Linked DNA regions of Arabidopsis thaliana. The protein of the gene in region 1 purifies or fractionates together with the protein of each later gene. This does not show direct contact. Each region holds a gene or a part of one and is shown in the gene's direction. Other genes may lie near its edges. The genes, in order: J2, AT3G05060 and AT5G27140.

Evidence for each region.
Region 2: the proteins of J2 (region 1) and AT3G05060 fractionate together in Arabidopsis thaliana (co-fractionation; one large-scale study listed by BioGRID). This does not show direct contact.
Region 3: the proteins of J2 (region 1) and AT5G27140 fractionate together in Arabidopsis thaliana (co-fractionation; one large-scale study listed by BioGRID). This does not show direct contact.

The regions. Positions count from the first base shown.
Region 1 is NC_003076.8:7,299,826-7,310,471, reverse strand, and holds J2 (DNAJ homologue 2), read left to right. Parts: upstream 1-4,601; 5' UTR 4,602-4,803; coding exon 4,804-4,956; intron 4,957-5,287; coding exon 5,288-5,595; intron 5,596-5,695; coding exon 5,696-5,972; intron 5,973-6,056; coding exon 6,057-6,255; intron 6,256-6,351; coding exon 6,352-6,674; 3' UTR 6,675-6,966; downstream 6,967-10,646. Other genes in the region: AT5G22070 (Core-2/I-branching beta-1,6-N-acetylglucosaminyltransferase family protein), read right to left, coding at 1,129-2,217; AT5G22050 (Protein kinase superfamily protein), read right to left, coding at 7,263-7,570, 7,640-7,709, 7,780-7,875, 7,962-8,029, 8,099-8,151, 8,248-8,503, 8,933-9,005. UniProt on the Arabidopsis thaliana protein: Plays a continuous role in plant development probably in the structural organization of compartments.
Region 2 is NC_003074.8:1,408,596-1,420,046, reverse strand, and holds AT3G05060 (NOP56-like pre RNA processing ribonucleoprotein), read left to right. Parts: upstream 1-3,990; 5' UTR 3,991-4,163; intron 4,164-4,458; 5' UTR 4,459-4,482; coding exon 4,483-4,563; intron 4,564-4,651; coding exon 4,652-4,693; intron 4,694-4,786; coding exon 4,787-4,966; intron 4,967-5,046; coding exon 5,047-5,211; intron 5,212-5,417; coding exon 5,418-5,618; intron 5,619-5,711; coding exon 5,712-6,209; intron 6,210-6,315; coding exon 6,316-6,450; intron 6,451-6,573; coding exon 6,574-6,873; 3' UTR 6,874-7,180; downstream 7,181-11,451. Other genes in the region: LRS1 (Transducin/WD40 repeat-like superfamily protein), read left to right, coding at 89-223, 423-775, 919-1,012, 1,091-1,273, 1,376-1,474; AT3G05080 (uncharacterized protein), read right to left, coding at 1,902-2,009; AT3G05070 (Cwf18 pre-mRNA splicing factor), read right to left, coding at 2,514-2,572, 2,779-2,893, 3,010-3,142, 3,440-3,567; AT3G05050 (Protein kinase superfamily protein), read left to right, coding at 8,853-9,281, 9,367-9,651, 9,732-10,049, 10,133-10,369, 10,556-10,656, 10,766-10,883, 10,965-11,258. UniProt on the Arabidopsis thaliana protein: Required for 60S ribosomal subunit biogenesis.
Region 3 is NC_003076.8:9,543,634-9,554,079, forward strand, and holds AT5G27140 (NOP56-like pre RNA processing ribonucleoprotein), read left to right. Parts: upstream 1-4,908; coding exon 4,909-4,986; intron 4,987-5,087; coding exon 5,088-5,132; intron 5,133-5,185; coding exon 5,186-5,278; intron 5,279-5,357; coding exon 5,358-5,522; intron 5,523-5,602; coding exon 5,603-5,803; intron 5,804-5,899; coding exon 5,900-6,397; intron 6,398-6,468; coding exon 6,469-6,741; downstream 6,742-10,446. Other genes in the region: AT5G27120 (NOP56-like pre RNA processing ribonucleoprotein), read left to right, coding at 1-51; AGL39 (AGAMOUS-like 39), read left to right, coding at 3,000-3,920. UniProt on the Arabidopsis thaliana protein: Required for 60S ribosomal subunit biogenesis.

The DNA.
Region 1 (10,646 bases):
TCCAAATACATCAGAGACAGGGAAGCGATATCTCACTTCTCACATTATGACCTTAACTTATTGCGTCTCAGTCCAGATGATGTCATTAGCCTCTAGATTAAAATAGTAAACTTTGATCTTTTATATATTCAATGTGGTGTTCACCACAAGAGATAACATATTCTCTTCATAGATTTCCTTGACACAATTATAATGCTACAGACCCCAAGCCTTTGAGGTAAAAAGAGCTCTGCTATGTAACAGCACCAGCTCCAAAGAACAAAAAGAAGAACAAAAAGAAAAACAAAAAAAAAAATTACAAGTTCGGTTTCTCTGTCTCTTGATCTGTGTTCTCGTGTCGTGTGATATATATGTCACAACAGCTAACAAGCCTGAGCTCCGAGTACCACTAAAGCTGGTTTATTTATTTCAAGCCTCAAAGCCTCCTAACATCGTTTCGCTTTGCCTCTTCTTAATTCTGAAAGTGGCATTTGTTCTTCAACCCATACATAAAACCTCTCCGGTCACCAAAACTTTTGTTTTCTCACCCTGAAAAGACAATACCCAAAAGCAAAGCGAAAGTGAGCATCTATTCAGTTTTGTTAAAGATCCCAAGCAAGTGAACACCAACACAATGCAGTTCAACACGACTTTTTCAACGATGTATGACAGAGGAATGAAACAGATAAAGAAAAGAGCAAGGTACACTTATTATGGCACATTTGTACAATCCCGTTGTAATGTTCGGGATTGTTTGATCTAAATTACTAAATTGGATTCACCACGTCTTCTTCAACAAACAATATAACAAAACAATGCAGCCGAAAGGAGTACAGTATCCTTTTCATGGCAGATTTGTATAATCCAAGTTGATTCTTATCATTCTTGATCAGTCTAAAAAACACTTCAAGTGCTTTTCTTTAGCCCTTCACTAATAAACCAGAGTTTGATGATTAAGCTATAAAATCCAATTACTGTGTAACCACCTTAGCCAATGTTCTACTTATAAAAACATTTTTCATTTTTGATGGCTTTAGATCAAAACTATCAATCTCGGTTTAGTTCCTAGACCAAAACACATAGACACACCACAATTATGAAAGTCAGTAACAAAGTAGAGGCTTTGGGAAAAAACCTTACCTGCATAACTTAATCTCTGAAAATCACAGAATCTGCAATGGCCAAAAGCGGCTTCAAGCAATCCGGAGTAAATTTGCGGGCGAAAAAGTAGGAGCTAGAGTGATTCGATCGCCGGAGTCTCTGGATCAACTCTGGCACAACTTCCTTTGGTTTGTAAGTATAAGGATGTCCTTTCACAGTCCCAGTCCAGTTAACTCGCGTCAACGTATACCCAGTGCAACCATCCGGATCCTTCATGTTCAACAGCGTCGGGAAATAATGCTCCTCCGGGTAACACTCATCAGAACGATAACACGGGAGCTTGAATTTACGCCACAAGATCCGATCTTTGATTGTTAACAAAGCATGTCTTCTAGTCATAACAAAGAACTGCGAACCAACTCTGAATTTCTCAAACGGAACCTCAGGCATCATAGCATACCTTCCTCTAGCAGTGTACCGTTTCCAAAGCCTAGGCTCATCAGATATCAGTTCCATAAAACTCCGATACAAGATTCTAATACCTCTCGGATTCGGATTCGGATCCGGATCAGATTTATCAAAAATTGAAGATTCAAAGAGAGAGCTATAAACATAGTTGAACGAGTGGAGAGGAATACAATACTGAGAGAGCACAGCGAAGTAAGTGTTCGCAGGGTCATCAAGGAAAGCGGTAGCGAGGAGGCGCCGCGTGGCGGAGATAAGAGTCGGAGAAGCTCTTGCGGTGCGTTTCGCGTTTGCAATGAAGGCATTCTCAAACACAGAGCCATTCCCAGGTCTTGTGACATTGACAAAAGGATCTGCGTGGACATAGACGTTGTAGAGAGATTTCGAATGACCAGAGAAGAATCGATCCCAGATTGGCGCGAAATGGAGATCGGAGTTGGTGAGGAATAGAAAAGCAATCTTGAGCTTAGGGTTAGGGTTTCCAGATGAGAGATGAGAAAGAGAGGTTGATCCAGCAGCGGCGATGAATAAACTCCGGTCATCAATCTCATCGGAGATTGGGATTAAAGATTCACCAGGAGGAGAAGGAAACACATGTGGCGCTACAAAGAAGAAAACAAATGGGAGACATAGGAGAAGAGAGAAGAAGAGAACAAACTGATTCGAGAACATTTGGAAAAGGAAAACAAAAATCGGAAACCCTAGAAATTTTTGACTTCCCCAGAAACTGGAAAAAAATCTACCGGAATGTGATTGAATCTCCCATGGATTAGCAGATTCTGAAGATAAAGCGTTGTCTCGATTTCACATTACTGGAGCTATGAGAAATAGATTCTCATAGCTTTTTTCCGACGATAATACGTCGACGAACCTCTCTCAAAGACTGAACGAAATCGATGAAGAAATATAGAAAGAAACTCCTGAAAAACGAAGGTTATCTATCTCCAGAAATTTGGGGGAAAATCAGCAAAGATTGAAAATTTATGGGGGAATTTAATGAGAATTTAGAAATATCTTTCAGATCTCAGATTGTAAAAAAAAAAAAAAATTCAATCACAGTCAGTGATGATGAGAGATTAAGATGACGGAGTATTGTTTTTAATCAATCTGTGATTGACGCGCCACTTTGGCCGTAGGGGTATTTACGTCAATTTACAAAACCGACAAGCGTTATAATACCTGACGTCGTCAAGTTTATTATAGTAACTGTTTTGTTTATCGGAACGAGACGGATGAGTTAACGGCGTTGCGCTGTGTTTACCGTCGTTGATAACGGCGATGATACGTCGGTCGATAATGATGTGTGAGTGCTATTTTTTATTCATTTGATTTTTATGTTTTTTAGTAATAAACGTGAGGATTTTTGTAATAAATTAGACATTGAATGTTGTATCTAATTCGGTAGGTCCAACTGATTTGGTAACTGGTAATGCACTATTTTGCTCGGATGGATGTTTTATTTCTTTTTAAGGACACGTATTAGATTAGATGTATAAGCTTATGCTTTTATACTCATGAGTCATGACTCTTTACAACAGAAATACTATGGTTCAATTTTCTTTGGAAGGAGATTAAACCCGCTTTTTATCCCCAGTCCATATGATTACAAATTATAATCCAAAATTTTCTGATTTTCGGTTTATGAAGGAAAAAATAAAATTACAATAGGGTATTAATCTGAGAATTACGCATAAAGTGCATAATGCTAATCGTAATTTGAATGGAGTCAATACTTCGTGGTAGGCGTCGTGGATGGTAAATTTTTTAAAACGATGTGATATATATTCAAATAAAGCCTCATAATGCTTAAAAAGACAAAATAATAACATTGGAGAATAGCCTTTTAGTATTATTTTTTTAATAGAATAAGTGTATATAATAATTTATATTGAATGTGTGAGTAATATACAGCCCAATGCAATCATTTTATAATCCCCATGATACAAAAGAAAGAAAGGAGAATTGATATAGATACGGTATACCAAAATAGATGCATTGATTTGAAGTCAACCAAAGCATATTACATGGAACATAGTCGAAACCAAGTCAAATTAAAGGCTGGATCCAGGAACCTAGAGGCAAAATCTACAACGAGTGCTTGTTGTTTTTTGTATATGTACTTTTTTTTTACTTTGTTAAAAGTCTTTTTATACGTACTTACGAAGTTGTATTAGCTATCATAAGCATTGGTCGTACATATCGTACGCGACACATGACGCACTTTGGTAAAGGAGAATGAATAAGTACCCCATGTGAATAATGTTTGAAGCACTTTTAGTAAACGGGTTAATATCTTACTCAGGCCCATGATTAATGATTTGTGTAATCATTTTGTTTTGAGATATTGCATTACTCATGCATTTATAAAATGATTTAGATCACTTGAAGTACTTGACAAAATTTGTCAATTGGATTCTCTATGTTGATCGGGTATAACATTTTTCAGTCAGGACTAAATTGCATTCAATAAATTATATTTCATCTATTCCTTGACAATTGATTTTCTAAAAAAATATACATATTAAAAGTTGATTATAAATATATTATTTTTGATGATTAATAATTTTCTACTATTCTAAACTAATATTATTTAATTATTATTTTTAAAATTTAAAATTTATCAATAATAACTAATAAATATTACATAGAAAATCGAAAAATTAATTTTTAATCAATAAATAACAGAAATAACTTGATTATATGCCTGTCTATAATATTTTTTTGTTTGCAGTTAGATTATATATGTTGATATAATACTCTAAAGTCTGTATTTAAAAAGAGATAAAATTATTGTATATTAATTATATTTGGATTCTGATTGATAAAAGAAAAACCTTAATATTTTGTTAACTGAAAAGAAGAGACCTTTAATATGTTATATGTCAAACAACAATAGATGAATATATGAACTTCTTAATGTAAATTTCAAAGTAATCTCCTTTTCTTACAATTTTTAAATTAAAATTTCCATAATTCCATATTTTTAGTCTTTTTTTTTTCCGTCTATATTTTTAGTCTATCATAGAAGAAATTTCCTATTTCTTTCTCAATAAAAACAAAATTGAGAAAAGGAAAAGGGCAAAAAGAAAAAGATATAAAAAGTTCTAGAGTGTTCCGCTTCACAAGACCTTGAACAGAAGCAAAGTCTTCAAAACCAAACAAGTTAGCAGCCACAACATTCTCCTTCTCCTTCTCCTCGTGAAGACTTTTCTCTCTGTTTATTTTTTTTAGGGTTTTCGTAAGAACAGAGCAAAAAACATGTTTGGAAGAGGACCTTCAAGGAAGAGCGATAACACAAAGTTCTACGAGATCCTTGGTGTTCCTAAGACCGCAGCACCAGAAGATCTCAAGAAAGCTTATAAGAAAGCCGCTATCAAAAACCATCCTGATAAGGGTGGTGATCCCGAAAAGGTTTCTCTTTTCGATTCTCGCTTAGATTCTCTGTAAATTCAATTCGTTAATCTAGTAGTTTGATTTGAATTCTCCGATTGATATAGGCTTAGATCTTCGTATTAGTATTACGAATGTTCGATTCGATCTGAAATCTGCGAGTTTTAGGTCAACTATTGATGGTTGTTTTTGTCTTGTGATAGTTAAAAGTTGTTAGATTGTTTGTTGTTGGGATTACGAATATTCAGATAGCCAAATTTCTTCTTTTGGAACTTTTGAGACAAGAATTTATTGCTTTGGAGGTTATGATGATTTGAGTTTATAGTTAACGGTTTAATTCTTGTTTCTGCAGTTTAAAGAGTTAGCACAGGCTTATGAAGTTTTAAGTGATCCTGAGAAGCGTGAGATCTATGATCAATATGGGGAAGATGCACTCAAGGAAGGAATGGGTGGTGGAGGTGGTGGACACGATCCATTTGATATCTTCTCTTCCTTCTTTGGTAGTGGTGGACACCCATTCGGAAGTCATAGCCGGGGAAGGAGGCAGAGGCGTGGTGAAGATGTTGTTCATCCCTTGAAGGTTTCCTTAGAGGATGTTTATCTCGGAACAACAAAGAAGCTCTCACTTTCTAGGAAGGCTTTGTGCTCAAAGTGTAACGGGTTAGTTCTTATTTACTTTATACTTTCACAGTTGTTGTATTGCTTTGTGTTTGTTACCAAATTTTTACTGTTTCTGACAATATTTGCTTTATGATTACAGCAAGGGTTCAAAGTCTGGAGCTTCAATGAAATGTGGTGGCTGTCAAGGTTCGGGAATGAAGATCTCGATCAGGCAGTTTGGACCTGGAATGATGCAGCAGGTGCAGCATGCTTGTAATGATTGCAAAGGCACAGGAGAGACCATCAATGATCGGGACAGGTGTCCACAATGCAAAGGAGAGAAGGTTGTCTCTGAGAAGAAGGTGCTTGAAGTAAATGTGGAGAAGGGAATGCAACACAATCAGAAGATCACATTCAGTGGACAAGCCGATGAAGCGGTATGTGATACTCTATTTGTCCTGGCTTTGATCATTATATATTTCGTCTATTGACATTTTCCTTTCTTTTTCATTTGGAAACAGCCTGATACTGTCACCGGAGATATAGTGTTTGTCATTCAGCAGAAGGAGCACCCAAAGTTCAAAAGAAAGGGTGAGGATCTCTTTGTGGAGCACACCATCTCTCTAACCGAGGCCTTGTGTGGCTTCCAGTTTGTCTTGACCCATTTGGACAAAAGACAGCTTCTCATCAAATCCAAGCCCGGAGAGGTCGTCAAACCTGGTACGTATTTTACTTTGGCCCAGTCATAAACCCTTTCTGTATTATAGATGACAACTTTTCTTTATCTTACCATGGTGTCTATTTTACTGCTGATAGATTCATACAAGGCGATAAGTGATGAGGGAATGCCAATATACCAAAGGCCGTTCATGAAGGGTAAGCTATACATTCACTTCACGGTTGAATTCCCGGAATCGCTGAGCCCGGATCAGACAAAGGCCATTGAAGCAGTTTTGCCAAAGCCAACCAAGGCAGCTATAAGCGATATGGAAATAGACGACTGCGAAGAGACGACTCTGCATGATGTGAACATTGAGGATGAGATGAAAAGGAAGGCGCAAGCTCAAAGAGAGGCTTATGATGACGATGAGGAAGATCACCCAGGCGGTGCTCAGCGTGTGCAATGTGCCCAGCAGTGATCAACATGCGCATCTTAGTGATCTCCAATATTTGCTTCTGTCTTTTCTCCTTTTCATTGTATTATTTTTGGGTCTTTTTATAGACTTTGCCAATTCAGTGGGAAGAACCTCGTCCTAATTCAAATCCTTGTTACACCATTTTTTTTGGTTTGAGAAATAAACTTGTAGTTCTTGAGATTTTGTCCTGACCCACCATCTATTTGTTGTCCCAAATTCTACCAAAATCATAAGTCGGGGATTGCCTTTTAGGCCTATTCAAAGTAGAGGAGACGTGTACAAGGATATGGTTCTGACAATACCAATATTACTTACTAGCGACCATTTAGATTGCAGCTTAGAGAATTAGAGATTCTCACCAGTACTTGGTAAAGAGTTGTTTTTCAAATAAGGTAAGAAAGAAATCAATTGCCATCAGTTACAAATATCAAAAGTTATATCAAGACAAGTACAATGCTACTACACTATAAGCTGTTATTACATCTAGAATGGTGTAAAAATAGGCAAAAGACTAAATAAGGATGATAAACCACATGTCATCTCAATTTCAACCATCAAACCCAATTCAATTCACAAAAAAAAAACTAGTATTCAAGTTGCAACATCGATCTTCTTCTGTAGATACCGGTATACATGTGTAATTGAGAATGAAGGAGGCTCATACCTCGTTTTTATGCAGAGTCGAGCCACGGCTAAGACTTTCTGGAGTTCTCTAGAGCTATAGTTGTTACCTAAATCTGGATCAATCATCTTATCAATTGAGTTTGCAATACACGAGTCTTGTACCCATTCGATCAAGTCATTGCCTTGTCTGTCTGATGATTGTCCTGTGATCAGCTCCAACATCAACACTCCTAGTTGGAATATCACGTTTCCACATTCCTCATCCGCACATGATCCTACATATCAAATTCTCAAACCTTAAGTAAAGCAGAATACCATTGATCTTGGAAAGAAGAAATTTTAACCTTCAGAACAAGAATCATGGGTTGCTTTCGGATGGTTTTTTGGATGTCTGTTGACGCGGATATCTGAAATCTGTGAGAGGAAGATTTCAGTTATTGAAATTTGGTTTTGTCTGCACTGAACTTTGTATCTTCGAACTTACTTTGGGGGTGAAGTTTTCATCCAACATGATGTTACATGAGTTCACTGAAACATCATATATCTGTGCATCATTACTGCTGAAGACTAGCAAGTATTCCTGCAGTCAAAGAGCGGATCATAATCTTCTTGTGTTGAATAAGCAAGAACTCATATTACTGTCCATGATTTTTAAAAACAACTTACTAATGCAGCTGCGACTCCAATAGCTATCTGAATGCGAGTCTTCCAATTTAAAGGAGTCTTAAGCGGATCTATCAAGAAAGAGACAAAGGTTCAATAAAGGATTATGTCTTGATGATTATGTATTGGGAGTTTTCTACCATTGAGGTGTTCTTTTAAACTTCCATTTTCAATGTTGTCAAACACTAGCAGCCTGAAAAGCAAGAACAAGAAATCATAAGCAAACAAACAAACAAAAAATTGTTTTTTTCTCTTTCAAGGTTTCAACTTTCAAGAAGTAAAAGGAAACCTCTTTCGTCCAATGCAAAACCCACGAAGTGTAAGGAGATGACGGTGACGTAAGCGACCCAAAAGCTGAACTTCCTCATCAAACCTTTCTCGTCCAAGATCAAGAGCAGTGAGTTCTTTGACCAAAGCAACCTCACCACCTTTGAATTTAGCTCTGTATGCAGACCCGTGATAGTTGGTGTAAATAACCTTACGGAAACCTTCTGTTGCTTTGATTATTTCCTTGTATCCAAATCGTCTGATAAACTCTATTCTTCCTGTAATGATATCAAAAATTGAAGCATGTATAAATTACTCCAGAAACTATAACATACAACACAGACTAACATTGTCTCATATAGAAAAGTCAAACCAAGTCACTCAAATGATTCATGAAACTAAGAAACAGCCAAGTTTATGGAACCAATTGAAATCTCCACGAAATTAGAACAGAGTATTAAGCAAATCATAGTTTTCTCCAAAGCATTGACCAACATCAAATTTACTAAAACCTCAGGGATAACGTAAACCCTAGAACATACTCGAACTATAGTACATCTATCAACTAGAAGATCCATTAGAATTGATCTGAGATTAAAGAAGAGCTAAGAAAGTCAAAATCTAGTCGAGAATAGTGGAAACCAAATCTGAAAACAGAGGATAATCACGAAAATGAAGGGAGATTGGGACGAAATTGTGAGGGTTACCGGAGCGAGAACGACGGAGCCAAGCAAGAAGAAGAAAGCGGATTCTGCGGCTTAAGCGAAGGCGATCATCCATGGCGATTCACTTTCCTTTTCTTCACTGTTGCTTCACGAGAAGCTCTATATCTTTGTCTCTCTCTCTCACTCGCTAATCTCTGTTTTAATCTGCTTTTTTTGAAAATTGAGAGATGATTGCGGAGAATGGGATCTGATGCTTTCTTGGAAGTTTTGGAGGAGTGTCAGTTGTACGAAAGCTTTAGCTCTGAGCTGTAATATCAACCTCACGCCTTTTTTTCTTCTTCCTCTTTCTATATTTTTAACAGTTATTAGTGATTTGTGTTAAAAAAAAAAAAACAGTTAGTAATGATAACGGTTTTTTAATACTAAATAAACAGTTATTAGAGATTATTTGTCACTAACCCTCTTTTGTTTCTTTGTTAAAAACTTTAAATTATTTTTTTCAAGTTTTTGGAACCTTGTAAAATAGTCTCAGTGATCGATTATTGAAAGAAAAAAAATTAGAAATTTCAAGTCCGACAGGTGAAGTAAAATCCTTTGTTAAATGAATTAAGTTTAAGGTTTATATTTTGAAAAATGTATATTGTTTAACACAATGTATATTAATTGAAGTTGGGGAGTTTTTTGTTTTCTGTTTTTTTTTTGCTCCTAGTTCATAAGTAAACTTTTCATATTTTCATTATTTTGGATAAGAACAACGAAATGTGGCCCCAAACTCTCGAGAAGATGTTGTCCATTACTTATTCCTCAAAATTTTGATTTTGTCTACCAAAGCTTAAACACCCATACGGCAGCATAATAACGAATCATGATGGTCTTCAAGACGATATTATTTTTAATAAAATGCGATCTTTAATTTCTATAAAACAAACATGTTACACTTAAAAGAAATGATTTATAACCAAGAAAGTGTTACCAGTAAAGACGTAGGAGCTGGTAAAAAACATCAAAGCCTAGAGATGAATCTTCCCACCAAAAATCTGAATTCATAAAACCTCAATAGATATCAGGTGTTGTGGGTAAATCTGAAAAACCTTAATAAGTTTTAGGACTACTTAGCTTGTTGATACCTGAATTGTTTTTTATTTTTTCTTCTATATCATATGTACCCGTTAATTTCAGAAATGTAAACGCATTTATAACCAAATATCCTAATTAGATGAATAATTATGAAATAAATCTATTTAAAATAATCTCTACTTAAAAACATCGGCAATTCGGACAGCTTTGATTCTGTTTCAGCCAAGAGTCAATACAAAGGCGATGAAAAACATGTCTACACATATTTATACGGATAATATCATGGCCATCTTCAAATTCTTCAAGACAAATTGAACAACAAATCTCATCAAATCCTTCCTCTTCGATACCTTTAAACTCTATTTTCTTAATATGCATCATATATTCGGTTTTGATGTCTTGTTGAGCTTCAAGTGCCGTTAGATGTCCGGTTTCAGTGTCTTGTTGAGACGGAGGTTGTGGATGATGGTTTTGGTTAGTCTCAAGGCTTAGTTATGTAAAAGGTTGTTTACGCATGTATCTCCAGATACTAAATAATATCCTGAAAATTAATAAACTAACATCAAAAATAATTTCATGTAAAACCATTGGCGCAATATTACTTTTCTACCAAGGAGATTAAATTTGGAGTTGAAGTTGAAGCACTTGCTTCAATTCGTATCCATAATCAAACGTTCAC
Region 2 (11,451 bases), on another chromosome or scaffold:
CTCTTGATCGATTTTCAAAGGTTATAATTTATTTATCGTTAGTGAGGCTAGCAGGTTTGTTTACTTATTGCTCATATTACTTTCTTAGGTAAGCATTCCATCGTGGTTTACTGTGGATACACGACTTGGATGCTTATCTGTACATTTGGAGACTCCACAATGCTTCTCTGCTGAAATGTATTCAGCAGACCTTAAAGTTTCTGGGCGACCTGAAGATGATAAGGTAGATTAATTGCCTGCATTTTAGTTATGTTGAATCTAATCAGATATTTTATTATTATCTTACTGTTGCATATACTAATAAATCTCTGTATGCAATTAATATTTGAATCTGTTCACCATAATTGAATATTTTAGATTTTCGTTTGCTCTAACCTAGTCAAAGTAAACCTAATTTTGTCATTGGATCTTGTGATTTGTAGATTAATCTAGCTCGTGAAACACTGAAAGGCCTGCTGGGTCACTGGCTGGCAAAGAAGAAACACAAACCAAAACCCCAAGTTCTTGCCTCTGGAGATACTTTATCTGTAAAAGATACCAAAAAAAATCTAAGTGCATCAAAAACTGAAGAGAGTAGTGCTGCAAGTGATCCGGTGTATCCTCCATTCGAGTTTTCTTCCGTCTCCCCTCCTTCCATCATAACTGAGGGTTCTCAAGGAGGACCATGGAGGAAGAAGATAACCGAGTTTACTGGAACTGAAGATGAGAAGGACTTCCCATTGTGGTGCTTGGACGCTGTCTTGAACAATCGGCTTCCACCTAGAGAAAATACAAAGTATTCGGCAGTACCTTGTTCTCTAAAAAAAAAAATAGTTTGGACTTTTAGCAATTTCATCACATATGTTTTTACATTTTTTTATAAATAGATAAAACTTCTTTCATAAAATGTCTGACTTTGAAAGCTCTTCAAATTTACAGATTAAGCTTCTTCCTGCATCCATGTGAAGGTTCATCGGTGCAGGTGGTTACACTAGGGAAACTTAGTGCACCCCGGATCTTAAGAGTTCACAAGGTGCATTTATCTGTAATTTTAAGTTGTAGTTTTGCTTGCACTCTCTGTTATTCAATGGCTTCTTAAATGTCTATGTAGGTTACCAATTACGTTGTGGAAAAGATGGTCCTTGACAATCCGTTGGATAGTCTAGCTATTGATGCAGCAAGTGTTTCAGGAGGACAACCTCAGCCACTGTTTTCAGGAAATGGATTGTTACAGTCTGGATTAAAGCCTTGGCAGAAACTTAGACCTTCCATTGAGATCTTATGTAATAGCCAGGCAAGTCAGACTTCAAGAGATCCAACTATTGCCCTGTTTCTGGTTTCAATTAACTGTTTGCAGTATGAGGCTGAACGAGCTGTTTCTCTGTGATTATTTCAGGTCTTATCTCCAGATATGAGTTTAGCAACTGTACGGGCATATGTATGGAAGAAACCTGAGGATCTGATTCTCAACTACAGAGTGGCTATAGCTAGATAACTTTTGAGGTAAAATATTAGAAAAAGGTGAAAACTTGTGGTAATGCATTATGTTGGTGTGTTGTCAAGATAAAATTTATTGAGCGGCTCCATCTACTTGACAGTTTTTACTTGGGAAGGTGATTTCATATTAGGTATTTTCATCAGAAAGAAAAATAGAGATACTTGAGTTGGTAGATTTTTCATGTGAGCTTTTTCACAACTCCTGATACCAAAGCCTTTGTAGATTGCTCTTTTTGGTTTGAAACAAATGATAGGAACAATAATGTTATGTTGATCGAAGCCTTGAAATTGAATATCACCATATTCATTTATTGCTCTACAGATTGGGATCTGTCTGCTGGTGCATTTAATCACATGGAAGTCTATAGCTTTTCATTGCTTGTTCCTTCGAAAAGCATATATCTTGGTTTACCTTGGCCTAGTGTTTACTTAGCTTCTCTTCTTTGGAGCTTGGATTCATGAGAAGTGGGCACCAATAAAGGTCCAAGATATTTAGGTGAGATGGTGTCGAAAGCTTTACTGAATTTGTACATTAGGTTTGAGCTTTGGAAAACAAAAAAACTTAGTATCTATTTTTGATTGTTCGGTATTAATAAACAAATATTGTATCTAAACTCCATCATCCCACTGTGGAAGCAACATGCCGAGAAGAAAGGTCTTAGAAGCTCTCTGTGTTGTTTTCCCAGACTCCAAACTAAACCCGTCTAGCCCGAATCAAAACTTTGGTTTCTAGTTTGGGATGTCTTTATCAAACCACAGTAAATCGAATCAAACCAAAAAACGCAGTTCCATTAATGATCAAACTAGATTACCACCGATGTTGAACCAAATTTAGAGAAAAACCGGACCGCACTTAATTCTACTCGGAAATAAATTGCGACTTTCTTTGATTCACACAAGAAGATAAACCTACTATGTCTATGCCAATGGCTGTAGGATTTTACATGGTCTACTCACTTCGAATGCTTTAACAGTTAAACAAAATCGAGTAGAATATACTGTTCAGTGGTGGCTTTCTTTGATGACGTCGTTGGGTTTCAACTTTCTATGGTGTTACCATCAGCTTCAGCCATCTCACGTTCTTTCTCTTGCTCCTCTGCAATTAGATGATGAAAGTGCATGTGTTAGTTCCATAATAAACAAACACCAACAGATCACTCTATTTTGGACTTCTATGATTTGGTATCATACTACCAACAGATTCAGTGAAATGTTACTCACTTACTCACGAACCACAGACTAATGTCTTAATTATCAAGCTTACATAGAAGATATCAGTATGTAGATACAGTTGCCACTTACCCATGAGTTTATGCATTGCCTTTTGAGTCCGCCTTTCGAGCTTATCAAGCTTCTTCTGCACATCTCTTCGGAGGTCCCAGTTTGGCTTCTTTGGAGCGATGTTAACAAATGGGTCCTACAATGATAACATTTTTTGTAAGCTTAAGAGGCACAAGTAAAGGAAACAACAATGCTAAACAGAGTCGCTTTTGGTGATCCTTGTACAGAGAAAAGAAAAACTGTCACACACACCTCTTTCTTCTCTACAGCAGGTGGAAGTGCAACGATCGGATCTTCGAATTTGGGTAGCTCTGGTGGCGCTAGTTTACCATCCTGAAGCTCCTTAGCTTGGGGAACATAGTTTCTAAACTTCATGGCTGGACCACTGTAAAATCAAAGACAATTCATATGAATAAAAAGGGAATCTACCTCGAATAATCAATCAACAAAACCAACCACCTAAGCAAAGTATACACAACAATGCAACTTGAAATTGGAAAAAATTGTTAGGTAACAGATGCTGCAAGAGCACCATTATTGATTCTCTCACAAACAGTGATAGTAAAGGCGAGAAGCAAAGCACAAGAGAAGCTCCTAGTTATGCTAAAGCCAACACACAACATTAACAACTCCATGTGCTAGTCAAGACAAACAAAATAAGCAAAGAACAAAGCAAACTCACTCTTCTTCGACAGCTTCATCCTCTCCGTCTTCCTTGGTCTCAGACAGTTCCTGAGCTGCCCTTAGAGCTTTAAGTGCCTCTTTACGAGCAGCAGCTTTTTGTTCAATCGATTCATCTTCACTAGCCATTATAACTTCCTGCAAAATTAGGTTATCGACGTAAACATCGAACACTAGCCCAGCTTCTTCAAACACTAATCACACAACTACAGAGTATAACCCTAAACAACACGCAAAATCGTGATTTTCAGGATCCACGGAACTAATCAGATGAAGTTTTAGCAAAATCAGAGCTATACTATGAAATAAAGTTGAAGAGAAGTATGGAAAACGCTATCTACCCAGAAAATCAACGAGAAAATTTGAAACCGTACCTTGAAGCTTCGAGCTCTATAAATTCGAGACAAATTTGTTGAATACCACAGAGAAACAAAGGGATTAAAAAAGAAAAACTATTAAGGGGGAAGAGAACAATAAAACGCCCACGTATTAATATTATAAACGGGCCAGATTAAAATATCCATTCAGTCAGGCCCATTAATCTTAAAACCTAAACCCTAACTATGGAAGTTATAGAAATACCCCTTACAATACGCGGCGTTTTAAGAAGGCTCGGCTCGTCTTTAACTGCTATAACAACACACTCTTAAAACCCTAAGTGATTGTCCGTCTCCGTCTTCATCTTCTTCCTCTCTCTCACGCAGCTGCTTTGATTAACTCTTCAGGTATTTAATATCTCTCATCTTCTCTCTTCACGGTGTTTCACTTTTCCATTCTTGCTGGAGATTGTGGAGTTTCGAATACTCATACTCGGACAGAGTTTTAAGGCTATTGTAGTTTATCTCTCTGTTTTTTCTTCTCCTGTATTTCTTATGTGATCTAAAAGTAGGATTAGGGTTTATATGGAATGCTGTTTCTCGCTAGTTTTTAATCTCAAAACGAACTTTTAGTTTAATTAGTGTGACTCGGACACGTATCTTTACTGTTCTGAGTTAAGTGTTGTCTTAATTTTCTCTTCAGGTCCAGCTTAAGAGTTTTGTGAAGATGGTCTTAGTGCTATACGAGACAGCGGCGGGGTTTGCCCTCTTTAAAGTTAAAGATGAAGGAAAGATGGCTAACGTCGAGGTGAGTTCTCTTCATTCTTTTGTACTCTCTTTGCTTATCCTTAAGGCTCTAAAAGTATTCATGGATTATTTTTTATTTTTTTTTGCAGGATTTGTGTAAAGAGTTCGACACTCCAGACTCAGCACGAAAGGTAATTTTTTTGCTTCTTCATCAAGTGTGGTTTCAGAACATCTAAAATTAGATTTAGTGTTGAGTTTCTCATATGTTTTTATTGGTGTACCAGATGGTTAAGCTAAAAGCTTTTGAGAAGTTTGACAATACATCTGAAGCTCTCGAAGCTGTGGCTAAATTGCTGGAGGGAGCTCCAAGCAAAGGTCTGCGCAAGTTTTTGAAAGCTAATTGTCAAGGTGAAACCTTGGCTGTGGCTGATTCAAAGCTTGGGAATGTTATCAAGGAGAAACTGGTTTGTAATTCCCATCATTACACCCATATTCCTGTCTGCTCTGTGTTTTGTTTCTAATGAAAGTTCTTAATTTCATACAGAAAATTGATTGCATTCACAACAATGCTGTTATGGAGCTTCTACGTGGTGTTAGAAGTCAGTTTACTGAACTCATATCTGGGTTGGGTGATCAAGACTTGGCTCCTATGAGCTTGGGTCTGTCTCACAGTCTCGCCAGATATAAGCTAAAGTTTAGTTCTGACAAGGTATCTTCGGTTCCTGACTAATTGTATTGGTCTTTTTATTTGGTGATATGATATGTGAAGTATATGAATTTGTTAATTGATCGAAGCTAACTTGTGTTAAATTATGGAACTTCTGTATTGAACTAGCCTTTGATTGTCCGACATTAAACGTTTCCTGTGTTTGTTTTTGCTTCTCTTGCATCTCCTAACTGTTTAGTTTTTGTCAGGTGGATACCATGATTATCCAAGCTATTGGTCTGCTTGATGATCTTGACAAAGAGCTGAACACATACGCCATGAGGGTTAGAGAATGGTATGGATGGCATTTTCCCGAGCTTGCTAAGATCATATCAGACAATATCCTATATGCCAAATCTGTTAAATTGATGGGAAACCGAGTTAATGCTGCTAAGCTAGACTTCTCCGAGGTAACTTTCAATTTTGTAAACTGTGTAGAGGCTTCCATGAACAAACGCCTTGATTAACGACCTAATATTCTCCTGTTTCTGGTTTCATTGTAGATCTTAGCAGATGAAATTGAGGCAGATCTTAAGGACGCAGCTGTGATATCCATGGGAACAGAAGTCAGTGACTTAGACTTGTTGCACATCCGTGAACTCTGTGACCAGGTTCTCTCTCTTTCTGAGTACAGAGCTCAGCTTTACGATTACCTAAAGAGCAGAATGAACACTATTGCTCCCAATCTGACTGCCCTGGTAGGAGAGCTTGTTGGTGCTCGTCTTATTTCCCATGGAGGTAGTTTATTGAACCTCTCCAAGCAACCTGGGAGCACGGTTCAGATACTCGGAGCCGAAAAAGCTCTCTTTAGAGCTCTTAAGACAAAACACGCCACACCCAAGTACGGTTTGATTTTTCACGCATCTCTGGTTGGTCAAGCAGCACCAAAGCACAAGGGAAAGATCTCGCGGTCTTTAGCTGCTAAAACTGTTCTTGCTATTAGGGTTGATGCTCTTGGTGATAGCCAAGATAACACTATGGGCCTTGAAAACCGAGCTAAGGTAACAAAATTCTTCAATAGCTTTCCTCTTGTTGGTATCTCTCTGAACAATCTTTTTTCCTCCTTCTTAACTGATGATGTTTCTGATATGTGTTAAAAACTCACAGCTTGAAGCGCGGTTGAGAAATCTTGAAGGAAAAGATTTAGGTCGTCTGTCTGGTTCATCTAAAGGCAAACCTAAGATTGAAGTCTATAACAAGGATAAAAAGATGGGATCAGGCGGTCTTATCACTCCTGCTAAGGTCACGATCATTCTCTCTGTTTTTGATTCATCATCTTTTCTTCTAATTTTGGATGTGTGTACATATTGTCTTTGTTCTTGGGATTATGATGAAGTGATCTTGACTGTTTTTTGTTATGTGCAGACTTACAACACTGCTGCAGATTCTCTTCTTGGGGAAACCTCAGCTAAATCTGAGGAGCCATCAAAGAAGAAAGATAAGAAAAAGAAGAAGAAGGTAGAAGAAGAGAAACCCGAAGAGGAAGAGCCATCAGAGAAAAAGAAGAAGAAGAAAGCTGAAGCAGAAACTGAAGCCGTAGTAGAGGTTGCAAAGGAGGAGAAGAAGAAGAATAAGAAGAAGAGAAAGCATGAGGAAGAAGAAACAACGGAGACACCAGCCAAGAAGAAGGATAAGAAAGAGAAGAAAAAGAAGAGTAAGGACTGAGGGAGAGAAACCGATTTTGAGAAATCTCTTGAGTGTAAGATTAATAACTGTTTTTGTTGAATTGCATTTTATCTAGAGGAATAGGTGTTTTAAGATGAAACTTAAATTTTCTGAAATCGTCATTTTGAATGATGGATTCATATTTAAATCCTTTTCACCCGAACTTTATTTTTGTTCTAGCCTTCCAGACTCTAGATTATTAATTTTGGAACTCTTTTTTCAATTTATAGTTTGTAGTTGTACAATATTCTTCTTGCATGATTTATATATATCTGGAAGAGGAAAGAATTGAAGAAAAATAATATATTCTGAAAAAATCAAATAGTTTTTTGCTACTAAACGTGTCTGTAGATTCACCAAATAAAATACTCTTTGATTTTGTTTTGATTTTAAAGATTTTTTACAGGCGTTAGTATCTTTTTCATGATCGTATTTCTCTTTGTTGACTATGCATGTTTATCTTTGGTTATTGTCTGGCAAGATTTTAATCAAATTAATGAGGTCAATAAAATTAGTATATCGTCTACAAGAATACATAGTAGTTAGCAATAATGCTGGGAATGAATGAATAAATAGATAATATATGTAGCTTTAAGTCATAAAAGAAATAAAATGGCTAATTCTAAAGGACAGACGTAAATCATTAGTTCCTTAAGCTTTTGTTCCTTGTTTGGTTTACAATAGAGTCTTGATAAAGGAGCTTCTTTGATTGGATAGATGAAGTAAACTCTCATTACATACCATATTTCTTATTTTATTTGTTTTTCCAATTCCTATTTTAATATTAAAAAAAACTCTTAGTGTTTATTTTAATAATAAATTCCAAAATTAGGTGGGTACATACCAAATATTCTTTACATATGCTAAGTAATATATTGTTTTTGACCAACAAAATTATAGATCAGTTTTAATATTCTAATGTCATTGAGAAAACCACTTCTTTAACACCATTGGACCTCTTACACATTAAAATCTCCCCCAAACTTTATAGACTTATAGTACTCCACAAATTTTTAAAATTGAAAATTGTGATAGAGAAAAGAGAGAAGAAATGAGTACAAAATGGTGCTCAGAGGTTTTTAAGTTGGTGGGGGCTGAAGAAGAGTAGTAACTTTGAGCCTTTTTGACCGTATTGGTGTTGCGTCCAAAAACAATTACTTACACATAATAATAATAATAACAAAGAGCCAACAGATCTTCGTCTGTTTCTATTTATTCCTTTTTCTTGTCTGATTCGCAGAAAACTAAAGAGAGTTCTTTTTCAAGTAAAATTCGAAGAGCAGTTCAACGAATCCTTCTTCTCCTTGAGACATTTTTACCCAAGTTGGTCTCTTTCTTCCTTCTTAAACAATAGTAGAGTTATTATTGGTCTACGACTCTGTTGTATATGTGTATGTATCACCTTGCCTTTTCTCCAAAGCCCTAATTGATTTTTCTTTCTTCTTTTTTTGTGTATGCTTTAAAGGTTTCATTTTTAAAATCTTCTTGGACTCCATTTCTTTTCCTTTTCCTTTATCTTTTTGCCTCTCTTTGTGGAGTTTTTGAAATCATCCCTCATTTCATTCCTATTTTCGTTGTCTCTTTGAGTTTGAGTCAGCTTTGTGTTGTGTCTAAATTCTAAACAAGTTTCAGATCTTTACCTTCCTTTGACTTGTCTCCTGTCTTAAAACTAGGGTTTAATTTTCTTTCTCTGTTCAAGTCTCAGATTTGACCAGCTTGGTCCAGAATTTCGCTTCTCCTCGATCATAAAGTAAGTAAATTTCACCAACCCTTTTCTCTAAGTCTCCTGTTTTAGTCAAATCTGATCTTCGATGTGTTTCTAGTTGGAATCAATTTTCTTGTTTGTTTTCTGATTTTTTCTGTTTCAATTTTTCATGTATGTGTGTGTGTTGCAGTCAAAGTTGATTCAAAGAGGTTTGATTGAGTCAGAGATCTCTCTTTTAGAAACATGTTGAGCAAATGAAGGTTTGTTTGATGAGATGGGTTGTGTATTGGGTCGACCCGGATCATCAGGATCAGTTTCTGGGTCTAGAGACGAAGTTAGTACTAGGATTGAGTCTAATCGACATCAAGTTAACAATGTGTCTGTGACCAAAACCGAAACAACAGAGAGCACTAGTGCTGTTGTTGTTGCTTCTGCTTCTAATGGTGAGGAAGTTAGGAATCATGAAGATGTTGTGGATCAGAAGAAAGAGAATGGCTTTGTTGTGACTGAGGCCAAGGAGAGGAAATCGAAAGGCGAAAGAAAAAGGTCTAAGCCTCCTGACCCGAGACGGAGCAACCCGCCAAAGAATTTGCTCGGTGAGCAAGTTGCTGCTGGATGGCCCTCGTGGTTGTCTGAAGTTTGTGGGGAAGCGTTAAGCGGATGGCTTCCAAGAAAAGCGGATTCCTTTGAGAAGATTGATAAGGTGAGATCAAAATCTGTTTTTGTTTGTTCTTTGCAATGATTTTGGGTAATTGAAGTTTGTTGGTTATGTGTGTGTGTGTGTGTAGATTGGATCAGGAACGTATAGTAATGTGTACAAGGCGAAAGATTCGCTGACAGGAAACATTGTGGCTTTAAAGAAAGTGCGGTGTGATGTTAATGAACGGGAGAGTTTAAAATTTATGGCTAGAGAGATTCTGATTTTGAGGAGATTGGATCATCCTAATGTCATTAAATTGGAAGGTTTGGTTACTTCGAGGATGTCGAGTAGTTTATACTTGGTTTTCCGTTATATGGATCATGATTTAGCTGGTCTCGCCGCTAGCCCGGAGATAAAATTCACTGAGCAACAGGTTAGGCCTTGGTGAAATAGATTCACAAATACAAAATCCGAGGCAGATCCTAACCTTGTTAATAATGTCTATGTTTTCAGGTTAAATGCTATATGAAGCAACTACTTTCAGGGCTCGAGCATTGCCATAACCGAGGAGTTCTACACCGTGATATTAAAGGATCAAACCTTCTTATAGATGACGGTGGAGTTCTTAGAATAGGTGATTTCGGGCTTGCAACGTTTTTTGATGCGAGTAAGAGGCAAGAGATGACGAATCGGGTTGTTACTTTATGGTACAGATCACCAGAGCTTCTTCATGGTGTTGTTGAGTACAGTGTCGGAGTTGATTTGTGGAGTGCTGGTTGCATTTTAGCTGAGTTATTAGCTGGTAGAGCGATAATGCCAGGTCGTAACGAGGTTAGTTCTCAAGTAATGATCTTTTTCTTTCCGATTTGAGTTATTTCATATGAAATGTGAACTGGCTTAATGTTCACGAGCAGGTCGAGCAGTTGCATAGGATATATAAGTTATGTGGATCGCCTTCAGAAGAATATTGGAAGAAGATTAGACTTCCTTCTACTCATAAGCATGCTCATCACAAGCCTTTACCACAGTATAAGAGAAGAATAAGAGAGGTTTACAAAGATTTCTCTCCTGAGGCGCTTTCTCTACTCGATACGCTTCTAGCGCTCGATCCAGCTGAACGCCAGACAGCTACAGATGTGTTGATGAGTGATGTAAGTTTTTTGCAATGGAAATTTTGAAACTTTGAATAGAACAAACTAGTTAGGGGTATCAAGTTAGATTACAGAAATGAGAGTGACGCTAAGAATGAAAAATGCTTGGAACTTGTGAATCTTTAGGCGTGTGACTTGATAGTGGTTAAAACTTCCATGGCCGATTTTGTTGTTGTTGTTGTGCAGTTCTTCACGACGGAGCCATTGGCATGTCAACCTTCTGATCTCCCGAAATATCCTCCAAGTAAAGAGATTGATGCCAAGAGACGAGACGAAGAGTATCGGAGGTAAAGCGTTTCTGTTCTAGTATGGATAGGTTTGGTACAATCTCAGTTTTAGTCAGAATATGTTTTGGTTTGGTATATGGTTGCTTGAGAGATGTATTCATTTCTGCAGACAAAGAGAAGCGCGCAAGGCCCAAGGAGAGAGCGGAAGAAGAATGAGACCCCGAGAACGAGCCCCAAGAGCAATGCCGGCTCCTGAAGCCAACGCCGAGAACCAGTCTAACATTGATGTAAGAATTTAAAACAAAAAAAGAAGTGAATCTTTGATTGGTTAATGTCTTGAGTACTTTGAACTTGTTCTCTTAAAACAGAGGATGCGTATGATCACACACGCGAATGCAAAGAGCAAGAGCGAGAAGTTTCCTCCACCGCATCAAGACGGGTCACTCGGTTTTCAGGTGGGATCTTCAAGGCGACTGGATCCATCAGAGATACCGTATAGCACAAACTCATTCACATCATCATACTCCAAAGAGCCATTTCAAACTTGGTCAGGCCCTTTGGCTCCCATTGGAGCACCTGACTCAACCACAAGGAGAAGAAACGATATTAACAAAGAGAGAAGAATGGCTTCTAAGGTCAAAGGCAAAAGAATCGTTGTTTGAGATAATAATTATTATTCATCTCCAAATTTCAAAAGTTTCCTTTTTGATAGATTGAGAAAAAAACAAAATTCCAAATTTTATCTTTTTGGTGGGTTATATGTTCTTTATTTGGTTGTTATGTGTATTGTACAAGAGAATTGACAAAACACAGAAATGAGAGGAATTAATTTACATTCTATGTAAATTATTTATT
Region 3 (10,446 bases), 2.2 Mb from region 1:
AAGAAGAAGGAAAAGAGTGAGAAGAAGAAGAAGAAGAAAACTGAGGTCTGAAGAGACCTTTAATATTTTTGCGTGGTCTAGTTTACTTTGTTATCAGAAACAAAGAAAATCTTTTGTGGCGTTAGGTGTTAAGTAAGGTTTTTGTTTTGTTTGAAACTTAAAAAAAAGAACTACTCTTCGTTTTGTAAGGTTATAATATGTTTGGTTTAGTCCTTATCCCAGAAACTTGCATTTTGCCAAACGAGTCAAGACCTTACCGTTAAATCCTTCTAATCTTAGTATAACGTAATTACTCATAGTTGATTAGTTCATAAATTTGTAAAGATCAGTCCGAAGAGTCGACATTTTTCATCAAGTGTATCATTGACATTTTAAAAAACCTTGTACAAAATGAATATTTGTGAGTCTAAAAAGTACCTTAATAGTCAATTGGAAATGGATTGGGTTGAGCATAAGGCAAATCATACCAGACCTTAGAAATTTCAAAAGATAAATAAAATCTAGAGTCTACCTACTTTGTGTGTGTATATATTTTTATTGTGCTATAAATTTTGTGATGAATATGAATCAAAATTCTTTCTGAATATTTCGTGATAATGGTTCCGTCAATATCAAAATTTACTACTGAACATATATGTTTTAAAATATTTAACTGGATTTTAATTCATAAAGTTTTTTTTATTTTTAATTAAATTTAGTTGCCGTGGAAAAAGTTTAATCTATAGTGTTTTATGTAATCATTGTAGGTAATGTTCAAAAAATCTGCCTAGACACCTATCGAACTGGATTTTAATTTATAAAGTCTTTTTATTTGTAAGTAAACTAGTAGGCAGCCCGTGCCTTGCACGCAAAACAACAATACCAATAATATATTTCGTGTCTTTGAAATTTGCAACAATTACACAAATGACGAATATCACAACCTCACAAAATACAATGTGTATCACACATTGCTCTATAACTCTCAATAAAAGTCCTATTCAACTTTACTCAAATTGTAAAATAATATATGTGTTAAAATTAAGAAAACTTTTATTGGAAACAGCAAATAATCTTACATAAATACACTAACTTATCTCATAGATATATAGAAAAAAATATATATATATATACAGAGCCGTTTTTTCTTCTCAAAAAACTTAACAATAATAATGATGGAGAAATGAATTACCTTCTAACCAAAACGCTTTTCTAAACTTGAACATATAAGATGGTTTCACATTTAAATTATTTTGCACACTACACCGTGGAAGAAGATGTCATGTCATGCCACCCATCTCTCAATTTGGTTATCTTCTTCTTCTTCTTCTTCTTTTTCTGAATTGAAAGCCCCAAAACATTTGCATCCATTTTGTTTCTATATGATTCTCGCAAACTCATGTGGTCATTTTGTAGCAGCGGGTGTGCATGGAAAATGTAAGAAGATAAGACCAAGTAAAACGCAACAAAACGGCCAAAGGTTTATTGATATTCATACCAGCGATTGGGTGGACCAAACTCAGTGAGTCGTGAGGGGTTAACAGCGTCCATCACATTAGGTATCACAAAAGTCTCAACTTTCATTATTTACGTCATTCTTTCGTTTCTCTGGTAGACGTATTTAGATGAAAGAATGGAGGATCTAAGATTATGAGAAAGGAAAGAAGAAGAAGAATTTAAACCTGTTTTTATCTTCTTGAGAATGGCTTATACGGTTGCTCTTGAGATCGTAAATTAACTGGCAGAGGGTTTGAAAGATGGGAGAGAAAGTAAAGAATCTTAATAACGTGGAAGAAGTAGTTGCTGAAAAAGTGGTTAAAAAAATTTAAATTTATCTTTTGTCAAAAAAGAATATTCTATTGAATAGTAAAAGGAAGTGAATTGGTTTACGATTGTGGAAGTGCAAAATTTTAGACTTAAAGCATACGTGTCAAAATGAGAAGCTTACAGTTTTTTTAAAAGTGACTGTTGATTTAGTATTATTAGATTTAGTTGCCGCGAAAAAGTTTAATATATAGTGTTTTATGTACTTATTATAGGTAATGTTCAAAAAAATAGCCTAGACATCTATCGAACGTCTAGCTACCGTACAACGATTTTTTGAACATTGATTATAGGTAACTAAATCTACATATACATTTTTGCCGCCATTTTGTGAAATAAATCTTAGAGTTGGAACTTATTTATAATGGCTGCCACTAGCTTTTAATTATTGTTTTTTTTGCAATAAATTAATTAACAAGCAAAAAAAATTCCAAATATATTCTAATCCCATATATCACGCAGATTTCTCCAAAATTGAACTAAATTTCGGTAACTATTTAAAACAAAAAATGTTTGACAAACCAAAATACAATTGCAATCCCTTAAAATGAGCAAAATGCACCTAAATACATTTCTTATCAATTCACTAAATCTAATTTCTCCAAAATTTGAATTAGATTTCGACAAATATTTTTAAAAAAATTTGTTTGACAAACTAAAATACAATTGCAATCCCGTAAAATATTTATTTTAATTATATATTTAAATTAACGGTGTACCACTGGGTTTTTTTACGGGACGAGTTTGGCGGAACGGGTTTGAAAGAACGTTACTTAATAACAATTGTAAACTATAAAATATTTTTATTTTATAGATAGATATAATTTGCAAACTTTTATATATACTGATTTAAAAAAATAAATTATTTCTACGGTATAACGCGGGTTAAAATCTAATATTTAGATAATTTTGAATATCCAATATATATGTTTAATTGTTTATAGTAGTAATAATTTTTTTCTGCTATTGTTGTAATAAAAGAAATCTCTAAAACGTTTTAGTAGGAAAGAAAAAAAACGTTAAATGCATAGAAATAAAGTTGGGCAGTAAAAGGAAAACAACAAGACCTAATTAAGTTTGACATATATAACTCAGGCGGCTATTACATCTATAAATATGGGTAATATATCTATCTTGCTTCTACTCTCTCTTTTCACTTTTTCTCTGTGTCTATTTGTCTCTCCGTAAGAAACATTATGCCTTCATCTGATTCCACGATGATGAAGAAAGGAACAAAGCGCAAAATCGAAATAAAGAAACGAGAAACCAAAGAGCAACGAGCCGTGACTTGCTCTAAACGCCGTCAAACTGTTTTTTCCAAAGCCGCCGATCTCTGTCTTATCTCCGGTGCTAACATCGCCGTCTTCGTAACCTCTCCCTCCGATAGTTCCGATGTTGTCTATTCCTTCTCCGGTTACTCCTCTGCCTACGAAATCGCTGATTGTTACCTAAATCGCAAGCCTCCACCCAAGATTGTTAACCCGGCCGGATCCAAACTAGGATTTTGGTGGGAAGACCCTGATCTCTACCATTCGTGTGATGATCTCTCTGAGTTAAGCATTATCGAGGATCGTTTACAGAGAATGAAGAAGCATGTGATGGCTTGCCTTGAGAAGGAAGAAAAATCTCAACTTGTTTCTAGTTTCGACCAAAACCCTAATAGTACTTGTTCTCTCGACGTCGAGGATTGTGATGGATCTTCTTATTCGCAAATTGCTTCTACTTTTACTCCAAACTCTGTCAACGAGTATTGCAGCGATCAAACCTTTTCTTCTTTCCATGGCGATCAAAACCCTAACCTCTCGTCTCCGTCTTTTGATCAGGACTGTTACTCCTCTCTCTATCAGATCTGTGGAGAATCATCTTCACAAGTTGCTTCTTTTGATCAAAACCCTAGCTCCGAGATCCAAGGATTTGAAACAGAGGAAGAGATTAACCAAATCAATCTACTACTACAAGAAACACAAACAGAGGCCAATGTCAATTTGGATGATGAGATCTGCTTTTGGAATGATCTATCCAACGATGATGTGTTTGGTCTAAACAGCTACTTCGGTCTCGATAACACCAATGCAATGATCAACTTCGGAGATTCCGACTTTAGACGTCATGTCTGATATGATGTGGTTGTAATCTTCAGAACTTGTTCTGATTTTGTCTCATTGTAAACAGAGATTCTTGATCCAATTTAAGTTTTTGTAAACCTTTTTTCCTTTATTGTTTGATACTCTGATGTGAACCCTTTCGAAGTTGAAAGTAAATTGTTTGAATCAGTTTTGCAATTCCACTTACTAGTTTGTTGATGTTAAATTCAAGTTAGTGATTTGAATTTGGATTCTCAGAAAAGAAGAACACAGTTTTTGGAGCTTTTGCTTGTAATTTTACATGAGTTTTAGCCTTTAGCTGAACACTTTTTGATTCCTTAATGGTCATCTTGTTAGGTGATGTGTTTGAACTTTGAACAGAGTACTTGAGATTAATTTAAGATTATGTATGTAACGTAGATTAGATGAACATATTTATACCAACATTTTATTAAAAAAGTAACTATAATCATTTTTCGAATTAGTAATTAATTTTATAGTTTCTTTAAGGTAATCATATATTTTACAATTTGTATATTAAAATTAGCAGATCAAACTCTGTTTTTGATAGAGAATAAATAAACTTTGTTTTTGATAATCTTTTCCCTTAGAAGTAAGGTCGGTTATTTTGACATCTTTAAAAATTAATTGTATAATTCTTTTTAGAAATATACCATTTTAAGAAAATAAGAATAGTTTTTTTTTTAAAGGTTTTTTTTTAGTTTTTTGTGAAAATTATATTTTCACATGTTTTTTTTCCGTAACTTTTTAATAGAAAATCATATATTTATTTTCTTATATATATAGATCGTCGATTAAGAATCTCGAACCCTTATAGCAAATTCGTTGCTCCTCTTTTTTTCTTTCTCTAACGCAGCAGCTTTGCTTAAATCCTCTTAGGTATTTATTGAATCTTTCTCCGTTGTCAGTGGAACGTGGCTTCCAAGTATTAGTTTTTGACTAAGTATAGTTCTGACTTTGAGATGTTGAGTTGATTAAAGGGTTTCTCGTAATCTTAAAGATGCTCGTACTGTTTGAGACGTCAGGTGGTTTTGCACTCTTTAAAGTATTAGATGAAGGAAAGCTCTCTAATGTTGAGGTTATTTACCTTATTCATTCTCTTACTTTCATTGATCTTAACCTTGTCTATATGTGTCGTTTGTTTTTAATATTCTAAGTATGTCAAATTTGTTCTTGTAGGATTTGGGTACTGAGTTCTACTCTGCAGAGTCAGCTCGAAGGATGGTTAAGCTAAAAGCTTTTCATAAGTTTGACAACACATCTGAACTCCAAGCAAGGGTCTACACAAGTTTTTGAAAAATAACTGTGATGATGGTGAAATCTTAGCTGTGGCTGATCCAAAGCTTGGAGATATCATCACAGAGAAACTGGTGTGTATTTTGTTATGATCTTTTACATATTTCTGTATATATATGGCTTGTGTCTTACGGATTTGCTTCTCTCCTCTAGGACATAGAATGTGTTCACAACGATGCTGTTATGGAGCTGTTACGAGGTGTGAGAAGTCAGTTAACCGAACTTTTATCCGGATTGGATGATAATGATTTAGCTCCAGTGAGCTTGGAATTGTCTCACATCCTTGCTAGATATAAACTAAAAATCACCTCTGACAAGGTAGTCATTGAGTTCTCTGTGTTTTGTTTTACCCTTGCTTATGTTACTTTTCCCCTCTCATACTTAAAATGTTTTGTTAGGTGGAGACCATGATAATCCTATCTATCAGTCTGCTTGATGATCTTGACAAAGAGCTTAACACTTACACTACGAGCGTTTGTGAATTGTACGGTTTGCATTTTCCCGAGCTTGCTAATATTGTACAGGACAATATCTTATATGCCAAGGTGGTTAAACTAATGGGGAATCGGATTAATGCTGCAACGCTAGACTTCTCTGAGGTAAAGCCTTATTTACCATTCTCCTTGACTTTTTGTTTCCATTAAACTATAGTTTTGTCTTTATGAAACATCTTTCTGTGTCCAATGTCATCTCAGATATTGGCTGATGAAGTTGAAGCAGAACTAAAAGAGGCTTCTATGGTGTCTACGAGAACTGAAGTCAGTGACCTTGATTTGATGCACATCCAAGAACTCTGTGACCAAGTTCTTTCAATCGCTGAGGACAAAACTCTGCTTTGTGACGACTTGAAGAACAAAATGAACAAAATTGCACCAAATCTAACTGCCCTTGTCGGGGAGCTAGTCGGTGCTCGCTTAATATCTCATTGTGGTAGTTTATGGAACCTCTCAAAGCTACCATGGAGCACAATTCAGATTCTTGGAGCTGAAAAGACCCTATATAAAGCCCTTAAGACCAAACAAGCCACTCCAAAGTATGGTTTAATCTACCACGCACCTTTGGTTAGGCAAGCTGCACCAGAGAACAAGGGTAAAATCGCACGTTCACTAGCTGCAAAATCTGCTCTTGCTATCCGGTGTGATGCTTTTGGTAATGGCCAAGACAACACTATGGGAGTCGAAAGCCGCTTAAAGGTATTCTTCTCTCCCGCCCGATCCTATCTACATTTTTCTTCCTTCTTTGATGGTCTAATTTTTTTCGACAGCTTGAAGCGCGCTTGAGAAATCTTGAAGGAGGAGATTTAGGAGCATGCGAAGAAGAAGAAGAAGTTAATGACAAAGATACAAAGAAGGAGGCTGATGATGAGGAAGAACCCAAAACTGAGGAGTGTTCGAAGAAGAGGAAGAAAGAAGCAGAACTTGAAACCGTGGAAGATCCCGCAAAGAAGAGCAAACAAGAGGGTGTAACAGGATTATTACTCCTGATGCTTTTAATTTCTCTAATCTATTTCTTTTCTGTTAACCAGTTGCTATGGTAAGCCATTAGCTCAGATATACAAAATTATGCGTGAGTAACACGTCTAGTTTCTTGACGTTTTGTTAGGATCATGTTGATACTCTTTCAAAGTCATTCAATTCAAAAACGGTTTCCCTTGTCATTTGGTTCGGTAGACTTGACAAAAAAAATAATCAGTTAAAGATGTGGTTAAGACCAACAAATATGTTCACAAGAACGTAAACATCAAGGTTCTGTCGCTTTAGACTTGATTTACAAGTGGATTTAAACATGATTAATTCACAAGCTAAACATCCATAAGAGTTGGATAAAAAAAAAATCCAATTCCATAAATAAATGAAAGAGAAAAGTGGATCAAAAACAAAATCAAATTTGTAAAAAGGTTATGTGGCTTTGAATTCCATAACCTTTGAATCACTCAATCGAACCTATTGAAATTGCGATGCTACTAAGAGCCGGACCATAACACATGAACATGAAACATTACAGTGGCCCCCATTCTAAAGGGGCCTCAAAGAAATTTTATTTTAGTTATATATACATATATTGATTTTTGATAATGGGAGAAAATAGTTAGTTTTATACATATAAATCCTAAATAACTGTGTGGTCCAAAATATTTGAGAATATTATTGTACTTTTGTTTTTAACTCCAGAATTTTGTTTAAATTAGTTTCTATTTACTCTATAATTTTTAAGATAAGAGTACTTTGTTTTCGTAATTTAAATAGGGCCCCGGATTTCATTGATCCGGCTTTAGGCTCTAGAAAATGCCTTATATGTATGTTGAACAAAAATGCAGAAACCTTGAGATATCCATGATTGATGTAGAGAAAGCTCTGATGCAAAAAGTGTCACGCTCAATATTTACCTTTTTTGTGTGTTTTAATCTTATATCTTTACTCTATTAAGACCAGAACACTCTGTTTGCTTGAATAACAAACAATTTAACAATAACCAAATATTTTGTCATTTCGACATATGTAAGGAACGTGAGTTGGTTTATACTCTATAAGGAAAAGAGTTACCAATGAACAATAATTTCCTAATTAAAAATTAGTAAACGTTAAAAGTATTTTTTTGTCATTCCGACATGGCCTCGTTTTTTTCCTCGAAAATTTAGAAATAATCATATTATTTTTACTTACAAAATACATATATATATATATATATAGATATATATAACTATAGTTAGAACAACTATATTGTCGTGAATAGGTAAATTTGGGAATCGTGATGATATATAATTTGGATCCGTAGATTGTAGGTGATGCATTTTTGTACCTAATCTTTAATTCCAAAATAAGTGGATAGCTCTATATGAAATTTGGCCCTACTTTATTTGACATGACCTTTTAAATATTTGAAAAGCCATGAGACAATTTATTTAATTTTCATAACCGTGATAATAAAAACAATTTGTTTGTAAGAACAATTACATAACAACATTTATCTAAATTATGAGTCTCGTCGGCGGTATGTAAAATATGTTAATATTATCCTTTTTCTATGTAATAGAATAATAGATTATCTTTCTTGGTTGGCACTAAATTGCACGTTAAATACTTGAAAACTTTGTATGTTGAAATAGTAATCCAATTTTAACGAAACTTTTTATTTTGTAAAGATTTTGATGGGCTTTTTAAAACAATTTCTACGACGTGGACAGACTTTGGAGTTTGTATGATTAATTAGATTCAGATCCTCACGTAGATTGAATAAACAATAACTCAATAATTGATCCTTCTCAAATTTTAATAAAATAAAAACATTTTTTAATAATAAAATAACAACATTACAAAATACCAAAATATGTAGGGTAATAGTTTTTGCTAATATAGTTATTATATTATTACTAAAATATAAATTCACATGTTAATATTTGTTGTTGACAAAAACAAAAACAATGATATTACAAAAAAACAAATAGGGTGATTAAACGCTAGAAGATCCGTAACCATTTTGATGACAAAAAGATATGGTACTAAGATGAACACGTTTTTGAGAATATTCAAAACAAATTCATTTCCGAAAGATTATCAATTTTCAAGCATACAGTATGATCTGGTAAACTATAAATGGTAGAACCACGATAATTAACTAGTCGATTCTATATGTTATGACATAGACTTAGCTAGGAGCATATCCGGCAGACCGGCACTAATCTAATGATTTCATGAGTTGTTATTATCTAAACTAATTAACAATTAATAGAATGAAATATAGTTTTATATTTAAGTTTTTTTTTTTTTTTTTTTTTTTTTCGGAATATCAGGAGGTTCTGGGCCGAAACCCGTAATCCCTTCAGGCCTGAAACCACAACATGTAATATTAGTTTCGTCCCAAACATCACTCGAACTAACGACCTCTAAGTTTCGCCTAGGATCTTTACCAATTGAGGTAACAACGCTTGGTCAAGTTTAAATCATTGTTGCTTTCTGTGAGATTTTGATCCCTATAACCTAATTTATCTTATGAGAAATTAACCTTTTTTGATAAAGGATAAGGAAAATAGTAACCTTGTATAAAAAAATTCATTGCCATTTTCATATATATATATATATATATATATATATCCTAAAATGTATATCTCTAATAAAATTAGAAGAAATGATACCAAAAATAAAGGTGAAATCATGATAAAATTTTGTTTTTTTTTGTTTTGGTTCATTGAGTTTGCCATTAACGCTTTTTTTTTATAAATAATTTCGTCTACACAAATTCATCCATATAATATTTTCTTTTACTGCATCAGAGTTTCACTATGTATTTAGGTTTTTTATGAATTTTAAAAAAGTTCAGCATCAAGGTGAAGAAAATTCCAAAAAAATAAATAAAACGGTGACCCAAAAAAAACTTGTTGTCTTCAAAACCAAAAGTACTCGACAAATCAAATAGATAAATCATGAATCTTAGTACAGTCAGGTTTTATCGTCTACGATAAGTTCCACAATAAATCCAAACACTAAACTGTTCAGATCTCAGATAGTAACTTTAAATCAACGGCTATAAATTCGCCATTTGTACTTTCATTTACACAACAGAGAATAATACATACACTCTATCTCTCTCCTATTCGTAACTTATATTTCTCTCTCTACTGTGTTTAGAAATTGGAATCTTCTCTCTTCTCTATCTCCCTCTCTCTTAAAAAGGGACCGTACACGTCTCTCTCTATTTCCAGTAAAAAATCGAAATTTCGTATAATTTCCTCAGTCCCGTAATTTTCTCCTTTTTTTTCTTCCCCAATTCCTTCAATTTTCGAATTCGCCTCTCTGTTTCGTTCCTCGTAGACGAAGAAGAAGAAGAATCTCAGGTTTTAGCTTTCGAAGCTTCCAAAATTTTGAATTTTGATCTTCTGGGCTCTTTTGTAAATCAGACTGAAGATATTTAGATTACCCAGAAGTTGTTCAAGGTAAAGCAATTCAGATCAGATCCACCAATTTTTTTTTTTTTTTTCATTTGAAGTTTTTGTGTTTGTTGTTTGTTGTTGGGAGATATTTGAAATCTGGGTTATTAAAGTTCCGACCTAATTTCATATTGTGCTATTACCAAAAATAGGAAATTTTGAGAATTTGGTTTTATGTTGTCATCATTTAATAATATTAGCCTTTTGTGGGATTTGTGCTTTTTGTTGTTTGTATCAAAAGTCTCAGATTTGGATTCACTTTTTGTGTGTTTTTTATAGTCAAAGCTGATTCATGCTATACATTACACAGCTTCACTG